2 linked regions of the Caenorhabditis elegans genome follow. The protein of the gene in region 2 interacts with the protein of the main gene of each other region in a pairwise test. Each region holds a gene or a part of one and is shown on either strand. Other genes may lie near its edges.

What was found. The genes of interacting proteins can lie anywhere in the genome.
Region 1: the proteins of hpo-28 (region 2) and F42H10.3 interact in a two-hybrid assay, tested with the Caenorhabditis elegans proteins (one large-scale study listed by BioGRID).

What each region holds. Positions count from the first base shown.
Region 1 is NC_003281.10:8,482,461-8,488,866, forward strand, and holds F42H10.3 (LIM and SH3 domain protein F42H10.3), read left to right. Parts: upstream 1-1,692; 5' UTR 1,693-1,697; coding exon 1,698-1,867; intron 1,868-1,917; coding exon 1,918-2,002; intron 2,003-2,526; coding exon 2,527-2,619; intron 2,620-2,666; coding exon 2,667-2,763; intron 2,764-4,182; coding exon 4,183-4,281; intron 4,282-4,946; coding exon 4,947-5,060; intron 5,061-5,239; coding exon 5,240-5,433; intron 5,434-5,506; coding exon 5,507-5,662; 3' UTR 5,663-5,905; downstream 5,906-6,406. Other genes in the region: Splicing factor ESS-2, read right to left, coding at 5,996-6,359.
Region 2 is NC_003281.10:5,706,217-5,711,157, forward strand, and holds hpo-28 (Major sperm protein), read right to left. Parts: upstream 3,109-4,941; 5' UTR 3,108-3,108; coding exon 3,000-3,107; intron 2,955-2,999; coding exon 2,792-2,954; intron 2,740-2,791; coding exon 2,656-2,739; intron 2,605-2,655; coding exon 2,456-2,604; intron 2,411-2,455; coding exon 2,300-2,410; intron 2,189-2,299; coding exon 2,063-2,188; exon of another isoform or gene 1,788-2,062; coding exon 1,629-1,787; intron 1,437-1,628; coding exon 1,261-1,436; intron 1,216-1,260; coding exon 1,016-1,215; intron 964-1,015; coding exon 536-963; 3' UTR 501-535; downstream 1-500. Other genes in the region: B0336.12 (uncharacterized protein), read right to left, coding at 3,846-3,929.

The sequences.
Region 1 (6,406 bases), 2.8 Mb from region 2:
TTTCAAACAATATATTTGTTTAAGTTTCTATCAAGGATTGCAAAAAACCAAAATCATGTGTTCTTGGGTAAATATGTCTCTTTTCTGGTGCCTAAGCCTGCGGTTTATTCAAATTGCCTAGAAAAATTTACAAACAATTTTAAACAAAACTTACAAAAGTTTTTCAACGTCGTTTTTTGCACATTTTTCGAATTCCGTTCAGCTTCAATACATTTTTTTTCCAAATTGGGTTTCAATATAAAAAAAAAACGTTTGAAATTTCATACAAAATGATGATGCATCATCAACATGTTGTATGCACGGCTTCTTCCAAGTGTTCACTTTTCACTTTACACCGCTTCCCCATCTTCTCTTCGCCGCCGGCTCCGAGGATGCGACCCGTATCTTTCTTATGTGGAGGGAGCTATTTTAAACTCAAAACTACTTTTTCGAAAATGAGCTTCTCAATAGACTAGTACCCTTTGCTTCGTCTTCTTCTTTTTTAATAGTTTCTTGAGAGGTCATCTACAATCCTTTTGAACTACTTTCAAAAATGGACAGATGCCTGCTCATTTTTTTGAAATTTGGACTCATTATAAAAGTATTATTTCGTAATTTACCGAACATTTAAAACAAAAACTCCTTCAAATCAAAATAATTTTTCCGGTTCTCTGTAAAATTGAATATTAATTGAAGCAAAAACTATAGTTGGGCTCCGAAAATCGCAAAAAAAGAAATGGAGGACATTTAAATTTTCGGGAAATATTATATATATATATATATATATATATATATATATATTATTAAATATTATTATATTATTCATATCGCCTCCACTACACTTTTGTTCATATATTATAATACATTTTTCATTTTCTTCCCAAACCAACAATACGTTTACCGCAACTTAATCGTTTGCCAAAACAAACCAAGTTCCCTGATTTCACTGATATGTGTGATAACAATGTGAGTATGGAAAGTCAAAATGAGCACAAACATAAATGTGTGAGAGTTGTGTGTAGTGTCTTGTCGGGGAGTGAAGAAGGGGGCTCCATGAATAAATAACACATTCTTCTTTCCCGCTATTTCTCAATTTTTTACCCGAAATCTTTGTACAATCACCCTATCCGCCCATTTCATCCCTCGTTCGTTTCTCGCCTCGTTTACTTTTACTCATACATTTTTTTGTCTATCCGTCATTTTCCTACCATTCTACATCCAACCTAACCTAACCATTCAATTTATTTACTCTATCTGTCTATGTTTCTTTGTTTCGCCTTATCTATCATTTATGCCATACAACTTTCGTTCCCGTCCAAGGGTGAAACTTTCCAAAAAGCATAGAATTTGGAAAGTATTTCCAAATTATAAATTAAAAAAAAATTTTGTTTTGTCTTAAAAGTTAGAATTATAAAGATTAAGGTTCAGCAAAGATAATACCTCAAATTGACAGATTTAATATTAAAATTTTCCGAAAAACCCAAATTTGATTTATTTAAACTGGCAACTTTTAATTTTACCACACATAATTTTATAAACCCAAAAATATATGTTTTTATTCTGATAGGGTAAAAATATGTGACAATTCTCAAAACTCTTATGAATTTTACCAATTTTTGCCAATTTACAAAAACATTATTATGATTTCTATTTGTATTTTTTTCTAGTTTATTCAAATATCTTCAATCTTCATATTCTACAGTTTTTATTTCCAGAAAATGAGCAAAAAGTGTGCTCGCGAAGATTGCGGGAAGACGGTATATCCAGTTGAGGAACTGAAATGTCTTGATAAAGTTTGGCACAAGCAATGCTTCAAATGCACTGTTTGCGGAATGACATTGAATATGAAAAACTATAAGGGATACGACAAGAGACCGTATTGTGATCCGTTAGTTTTTATGAGAATATTTCAATTTCTAAATTTTCAACTATTTTCAGACATTATCCAAAAACCGTGGCTTCAGTGATGGCGGATACTCCAGAAATGAGAAGAATCGCAGAGAATACTAAAAATCAGAGTAACGTAAGTTTTTGCAAAAAATTTAGAGAAAAAATAAATCGTCTCCCCATAAATCTCATTTATAATTAAAAAATATAACATTTGAGAATGTTATCCCAAAAATTGTAAAGAGTTTTTAAAATTCTTCCAAAAAATATCTGTAAAATATTTGTAAAATCAAAATCAAAAATATTATAAAATCTACACAAATAAATTTTGTCGAATTCGGCACTTAAAAAATTTGTAGTGGTGTCAAATTATGGATTCTCAAAAAAAGGATCTCGCCACGGAAACTACTGTAAATCAAGTTTTCTTGAAGAGTTCTAATATAATGTTCATCTTAGTATATAATGAGAATTTTCCATACTAAAAATGTAAAAATTAACTCAAATTTGAGTTTATAAAATATACGAAATTTTCAAATTCTTCGAGTTTCCAAAATTTCGAAAAAACACAAAAAAAACTATAAACAAAATAGCTAGTTTTATTCAATAAAACCTGCTACTTCCTATAACTGATTTTCAAATTTTCATAATCTGAAATTTTAGATCAAATACCACGCCGAATACGAGAAAATGAAGGGAACAAAGATCGAAATTGCTGATGATCCAGAGATGGAAAGACTGAAGAAAAATACTCAGGTTGGAAATAAATTTTTAAAGATAGAATAGAATAATGCTATTTTAAGGTTCAATCAAATGTTTCCTATCACGGAGTTCTCGACCAAAAAGCTCGTCAAGAAGAAGTCCGTCCAAAAGAGGAAATCTCACCAAACCCAACTCCAAGTAAGTTGTTCTTCCATTTTGTTGTCCCCATGGACTTGAGAATTGTATCGTCCAAGTTATGTCAAAAGTCTTGCACGGGAAAAACTTTTAATTCTTTTTTCAATTTTCCTCACTTTTCTCTTATTGTTTTTGTATCGCTTTTTACTGCCAGTTTATCAACTGGTCACTGGAAATGGAGGAGTTGTGTATGGAATTGGAGTGGCAATGGTTCAAGAAACTGAAGAGAAGTATGAAGAAAAAGAAGTTGATGAGGAAGAAGAAGACGATGATTATTGGCAAATTCCGGTGATTGTATATCCTAGATAGAATTCGCTTTTTTTTTAGAATTAGTTTTCAATGTTTCTTTTTTCATATTTACCATATTCTCTGAAACTGTACTGGAAACATTTTGTACACTTTTGGCACATTTTGAGGGGAAATATGGTATATCGATATCTAGATTAGATACGTTTTGTTTGTTTTCTTCTACCTCATCTTTGCTTTTTTCAGCTAGCCATAATTCTAGAGCAGATATTTATAATCAATCTTAAAGTGTTCTTGCTCAAAGCTGAAAGAAAATTACTAAAGACTCTCGCTTATTGAAAATTGTAAAAACTATGTGGGACAAGTTCTTGCCAAATTTTGGCAAAAGTATTAACTTGGTTGTTGCTCTAGGTCGCGCCAATATTCAGTCCAAAATTGGTCTAACAATATATATAGCCAAATTTGACATGACAAATTTTGAATCAAATATTTTTATCAGGATTAGGTTAATCTAAACTTAAGTTTTGTCCAGATTTGGACTAAACTTTGCCAACTTTTCAGCCAGGTACATACTTTTTTAGGCCAAACAGATAACAGAGTTTTCTTCTAAAAAAATAACACTGTTTTTAAAGAAGAATATCTTAGATGTTCTACAATTGAAAAAGCAAACTTGCAGTGTTGTTTCTAGAAAGCTGAATTCTTCATTCAGTTAGTATATAGAATTATAGAAAACTTTCCAAAATGGCTTTGAGTGAAAATACTTTTTAGATTGAACTTTAATTTTCAACTTCTTTTCGTGTCATATCAATGTCCTAATGTTCACTTATTTCTCAAATCTCTTCATTTGTTTCATACAAAATACACCTTCAGGTGTTGTTGTTCCACCACAACCCACTGAGCCCACTCCAGCTCCATCCGTCCCAGTTATTGACCAAAAGCCGAAAGCAGTCAAATCGACTTTTAAGAAAGGGCCAGCCAAAACTGTTAAAGCTTAATTTTCCTTTCAGTTCGATTTCTGATCATGACTATTATTTTTCTATCTATTCAAATCCTACATTAACCATGACAAACTGATTTTTTCAATAAAGAATACATTTAATTAAAGAATTATTTCCAACAAATCAATCTTCTCCATTTTTCAACTCACTTTTTTTTTCCACTAACCATTTATTGCAGCTCCAATCTCTCCAATGAACCATCAATCATATTCGGCTCCAACACAAGCAGTAGCCGCAAATACGCATTTGATCTACTCAACAGAGCAAGGTGGAGCAGGTTAGTTAGCAATTGAATTGATTAATGAGCATCCAAAAAGAGCACCTTGTGTATTGAAAAACTGATTGAATGCCTATAAAAGTTATTGCTGATTTTGTTGCTGATTTTTGTACGGATACATTATTTGACCAAAAATTAAGATAATGCTAGGTCTCAGTCTAAGCCTAGCCTAAGTCTAAGCCTAAGCCTAAGCCTAACCTCTTAAAAAGTTACAATAAGGTTTTTCCTTGCGCTTGGAGCGCAAAAGAAAAGAAAAAGAGCTATTTAGACTTAGGGTGCCCAACTGGAATAAAATATAGGAAATCCTTATGACACACTTAAGCCTAAGGGCCCGAAAAAAAACTAGGATGCCCAACTGGAATAAAATATTGGAAATCCTTATGACACACTTAAGCCTAAAGGGCCGAAAAACATACTAGGATGCCCAACTGGAATAAAATATTGGAAATCCTTATGACACACCGGCGGTATGGCGCGGCTTCAGCCTAAATAGCCACTTTTATCGCGCGTCAGTGGGGGAGCTAACGCTCCCCCACTGACGCCAAGCCTAAGCCTTGTCTAATTTATGGTATCTAGTTATATAAAGTCCAAATTTTTCGTTGTGCTTCATGTGTAATTTTCTAAAAGCTTTTGTGTTGTGCATTGTTATTTTTCTTCGCTTTCAGTATCTCCAACACCACAAAAATCAATCGGAAGTATTGCTGACTATGATCCAATGAACGGACAATGGGGTACAGCTGCTGCTCAACCGAGAAATTCCGAGAAACTTGGATATTTGAGTAAGGATTTTGTTTTTTTTTTTGGCTTTTGTTTGAATGATTTGCTCATTTGTAATCCACACAAATTTTTTGCACGTTTTGGTACTTATTAATTCGTTTTGTGGAAGAAATAATCTTTTAAAAAGCTCATTTTGAATAATTTTGATCTGTCATTAATTGAAACTAACCGCTTGTTGCAGAGGCTCAAGTGGATAAAGGTCCGGCAAGATTTTGTGCGGATTTTGCAGGAGCTCCACCTCCATCATCAAATAGTATATCTTCAACATCTCCACATTCAACACTTTCTTCTCCACAAAGCACAATTTCACCGACTGGAAAAGCTGGATTTGCAGTTAAGGCAATTTATGATTACGCTGCTGCTGATAAAGACGAGGTAAATTTAAATTAGGTTTTCAACCAGTTTCACGATGAAAATTTATTCAACCATCTAAAATATTTGATTCCAGATTTCATTCCTCGAAGGTGATATCATCGTGAACTGCGAGAAAATTGATGATGGATGGATGACAGGAACAGTTCAACGAACTCTTCAATGGGGAATGCTACCTGCAAATTATGTTCAACCACATAAACTTCCTACCGGATTGCACCGACTTTCTTAATATTTCCAAACCCACGCACATTTTCTATCTCTCCATGACCTGCTCTTGCTCACACATTTCCCCTAAATGCTTCAATTATGCTTCAGGCTTCTGCAGTTATTTTTTCAACTTTCTGAAAATCCCACAAACGGGTTCTGTTCACCTTCTGAATGCCTTTTCTCCATTTGTTTTTCAATCTTCTAAAATGTTATATGGTGCTGAAATTTAAAAATTAAAAATTATAATAAATGAATTTACTATCAATTATTAGGCCATTGTCATAAATAATAAACCGTGTCTATAAGGCACATGAGAACAAAATATACAGATCTAAATTATACTAATCTTATAATATTAGAAAAAGTCTCCAGCATTTGCTCTATCTGCAGCTCCGGCTGATGTTGAAGGTCCGACGTTATCCCCTTTTCTTCGGATCATAGATTCAATCCCAGGTGTGCCAGGAGTTTGTGCTCCTTGGCTCCAAGATGATCCAGGTGTAGTAGAACCACGACTCCATGCAGAACCAGGAGTTGTGGATCGCTTTGAACTTGACGGTCTTGACCAATTCGACATGATTTTCGGCGAGGCGAAAGGAGATTTGTGAGCAGGTAACATTTTTAATCCAAGCTTCTTGGTTGCCAACTTTTGAGCAGCAGGAGATAATTGTGCAAGCTTGTCTGAGACTCGCTTGGATCCAAATCCAGGTGTTCGGCTGAAACTTTACCAAGTTGAAAATTATTTGAAGTACTATTATCTCGTTATAGA
Region 2 (4,941 bases):
CGAAAAAACATCCTAAATTTATTAATTTGCATGGCGATGTGAAATAGGCAAATATAACACCACATTTCCTTAAGTTTTCAATATTTCAGTAATTTTTAATGGAAAAATCACCGCAAAACGAAAAAAAAATGGAAAAAATTCGCTTCACGCAAAAGAGAAAAGAGACCCACACGCATTAACGTTTGATACTCAGCCAACTATTCGCTGCTCGTCTCTTCTGTGTGAGACCCATAGGGGTCACATCGATTTACGAGGCCAATCGATTTATTTTTGATTTTGAAGTTTGTTATTCTTGCTTTTGCTCTTCTATTTTTGACTTGCTTTTTCGTTTTTTGTACGAGTTTTATTGTTTTCTTGGCGGATCTTAAGGTTTTCAAGGTTTCGCGGTAGAAATGTACAGCATTGGACGTGTTTTTTTCAGTTAACTCTGGTTGGCACTAAATATTATCCCAATTCCTGTTGTAAGGTTTATACTTCTCTTTGTTTGTAGGACATTTTGATATAATCAACCATTTATTCACGTTTTCCATAACATTTAGAGTTCATTTTTAACAGCTTCAACAATTGTTTCCTGAAGTGGCACAGAAGCCTCTTTAATTTGAGAAGAGAGCGAAACTAGGGTTTCCCTGAGTAATGCATTATCTGATCTCATTTGTAGGATGTAGGAAAATTGAAAGATCAAAAACAGAAAGAGAATAAGAGTTATTATAGGCAAGTAGATGTTGAAACCTCCGAGAGAAAATCCCTCTGGTTTGCTCAATAATTGTTGCTGCTGGAGTAGAAAGCTTGATCTTCTTTCCTCTGGCTGATCAAGCTTTAAATTTTCTGACAATCTACATTTGAATTTGAATTCTGCCTTGTTGCTTGCTGATTTGAACTGTTCAGAGAAGCTTTCAACGTCTGTTGATGACGATTCCATTGTAAGAAGCAGAAACTTTTCTTTGTTCCACGAGTGTCGGTACTCTAAAAGCTTATGCAATATTATTTTATCATATCATTCCTATTCTTCCCTCACCATATTGAAGATAAACTCTGATGATTTCCGTAGTTCCAGGCTGTACTATTCCAGAACTAGGACGAACGCGGAATTTTTCAGGCGAAGTTGTTTTGAATTTGAACATGATCGGTGTGTCCGAAGACTGATTCTTGACAAGGACGACATCAAGCAAGTCATTTTCTCCGTCGAGTTTCTCAAGTCGTAATTCATCTCTCGGACTGAAAGAACACCATGTTTCAAGTATCACACAAAGTCAAACTTACGTTATTGACACAAAGTCATTGGACGACCAATCGTCACTTGGTGCGTTAACTCGGTTCTCAATAAGTGGTCGAAGTGATGGTGGGATATGCGATTTTCTGCTTTTCGGTCCGCGACTTGATCTTCTGGACAAAGAAGGAGCTCGTTTTGTTGTAGATTCCTCGTCGAACTTGACATTCTAAAATTAGGTGGTAATTAGACGTCTTACCAAATAATTTACCCTAAATTGTGTCAAGTTATGCATACTCAACTTTTCCCAAGATTTGAAAATCTTATTAATTTAGTTATATAGTGTCAGTCTTAAAATGTTGGCAATAGGTAATTCGTTACATCTAAAATACATTCTTCATGAGAAATATAAGAAACGTACTCTTTTCTGAAACGACGAGAAGTCAAATTCAGTTACGTTGTTATTTGTAGAATCGTCGATAGAGTGCATTCGTTGTTGAAGTAATTTTGGTGAAGGTTTTGGTGGCGGTGGTGGTGGAAGGCATTTGGCAAGCTCGTCCATGGTGAATTTGAAAGTATCCTTCAAAAAAACCAATGAAAGTAAGAGTAGAAACAGCCGGGGAGCGCTGGTCAGAAAGGCGGCTCAGGAGCCGGCCGCTTGTTACAACACGAAAGAGTTCATTCTCGTATCGCCAGTGGTGGGGTTCAGCGAGTAGTGTTAAACACAAGTGGCCCCCTCTGCACACACAAGATGATGGAAAATGGGGCCTATTTCATGGAAACAACGAAACTGGTGATGGATGTACACAGACGGGATGAAAATGTAAAAAAAGAAGCGGAGCAAAAAAGTCTTACGGTGCCTCCTTGGTGCTCCAACAGATGACTTTTTGGTACGTAATGAGTGACACTGAGCTTGGTGACAAATGTGAGTAAGTCGTGTCTTTGACTCGCAGCTGAAGACTCTAGCCAAGATCCGATTACCTGAAACAATTTCGCATTGTGAGAGTGAAATGGGAAACGTTTGTATCTAATTTCAGTGTGAAATCTCTCTTTTGATAAAGTCAGAATTTCAACTTAAACAAAAACACCTACTTTCCATGAAGCATTCAAGATCGCTGGATTTTCAAAAATCAAAATCGATTCAATTGAGTTTGGATAATAATACTTGGAGGAATGTATAATAAACTTCATTGCGTCAAAGCTCTGAAAATCATTTTTCAGTCTCTGCGTACACTACCCAGTGTCTACCATATTCTTGAGTCCTGTACCAGTCATATCAATGAAAACGGTCAATGGTTGACATCCTTTGTATTCCATGTAGTGACGCTCTATCCAAAATGTAAACAGCTTTTCGAAGCCGTCATCTCCATTTTTATATTTGTTCATCATGATCCATACTGGAATATACATTTATTATTATACATTTGCAATATTTATTGCCGTCTCACACATGTGCCGGTTTTGTAAATCTTTTCCGTGAAGATACATCAGTTGGTTATCTAGTAATGGCTTGAGTGACAGCAGACTGATTCCTGAATTATTGTTGTTAAATTCATCTGAGGTTTTATTTTTTATTTAACTTACTGTCCACTTCAAAGTTTCTTCTCCATTTCAAGCACTCTAACATAATTGCATATGCAATATCTACATCGTAATTAACCGATCCTAAGAACCTGTCTAACCACCAGTCTTCGTGACGTATCCTATGAACGTCATCTGATAGATGCTTTACTGATATTGCCGGATCCTAAATTTAATCCTTTTAAATGTCTACAATATTTTAAATGCTTACTTGTAATATTCTCGATCTCAATTCATGAACTGCCAATAAATTAGTTGGATCTGTGAATGTAGAACTTCGTCTTCGTAGTATTCGAGAGTTCGAAATATCGCTCACCATTCTGAAACAGATAGTTAGAATCCGAAAAAAGCTATTCTCGAATTGTGCAAACGATTTTTAACGAAAGTTCAGGTAAATACAAAAATCTGGCAAAGTTTCTTTGGTTAAATGCGAATGACGTTGTTAGAAATCCAATCTGGTAAATCACAACGAATTTTTACAACCTCGAATTTTGATATATCATATATCAAAGCGGAACTATTTGTGAATATCCAATGGTTTTTTATTGGGGCGCATGAATTTCATCTGATATTACAACGAATTGTGATAAGAGCTTGATACGATGAGTAGAGCACAGAGAGCAACGGCAATTGCCAGCCCCAGAGAATGAAAAATGAAGAAGAGAAGCCACACGAGAAAACAAAAGCGAGGCGAACGGAATAGCTTCCAATTTAGAATGTAGGAGTTGAGCAAGGTAAAAATAATTGAGTTTAAGTTAACAATTAAGTTACATCAAGATAACAAAACTGAATGTTTGAGTTTTGGCATGTGAGATCAGAAAAAACAAACCCTGACTAAAAAATGACGTTTTATTCAATGTACTACTCGCCTTTCTCAAGAGACAAGCGGGTAAAAAACGAAAAGAAAGTATTTCCGAGTACCTGTAAAATGAAGCGAAAGAAAAAGTAAATAGGAACGATATGGATGGTGCTGGCGGATAAATGAATGAGTTTGAGTGTGAGTTCTTTCTCCCCTTCAGTGAGTGCTGCTCATGCCGCGATTTTTTTTGCGTTGTCTCTATCTCTGAAGCTCGCTGGCTGTCATGTTGGATCTGATTTTCGAAATTGTAGCGGAGGATGCTTCCTTCTTCTCTCGCAACATTTTGACATCTGGAATTACTTAATTTTTAGTTTTTTTAGTATCCGGATTTTAGAATAGTACTTTCCAATCAATACAATCAGATTTTAACGATCAAGTTGGTCTAGTTCAAATTTATTAACTTCAAAAGCTTACTTTTTTTCGAATTTCTATTTGCGCCGTTTTGTGATCCTAAAATAATATGAAAGCTCGTAATTTTAGAATAAAAATAACTTTTTTGATAATACCCAGATTTTTCGATTTTTGCTTCAAAAATAAGGTGCCTGGTCTCGACACGTCTTTTTATAAAATACAAAAATACGTCCGCCTTTAAAGAGTACTGTACCTCTAGACTTTTGTTGATACGGGAGTTGCATCGATTTTTCATAGTTTTTCGTAAAAAATATATGTATTTATTTAAGAAAAAAAAAACTGAAATAGAACAATAAACCCACAAATTCTTTCCGATAATGAAGGCAATTATTAAAAAAATCGATGAAAATTCACCATCAATAGTTTTTAGGAATTAATCTTTTACATTTTCCCGGTGGTATGTTACAAGGTTTTATCAAAAATATTGCCAATTATATTTAGACATTCAGTTTCATCTTATCATCATCATCATCCCAATCCATCTTTCGCTATTCGTCAGAATCAATCAGTTATTTTTTCTTTGACAATCAATCACCACACACAATGTTCCGCGTGTAAAAAGAGTACGGTAACCTGGAAGTCCAGAAAACATTGACGGAGACCAGTTTGTTTCGACCGCCCGTGTGTATTTCTTGTCTAGTCCTCCTCGCTCCTTCCATGTTTCGTATTTATGCGCAGTGTTTCCACACACACTGCCGCTTGCCGAGATACGTACGCAACGCCTGTTGGCTGCTGCTGCCAATTTTTGATCATTATCGTACCCCATTGGTTCCTCCTTTTTTCTTGTCCATTTTAGGTTTTGTTCTTTATTATTATCAGTGTATCATTTAGAGATTATAATTCTACTGGCTCTTTTGTTTCAATGCACTCAACTTTTAATGTT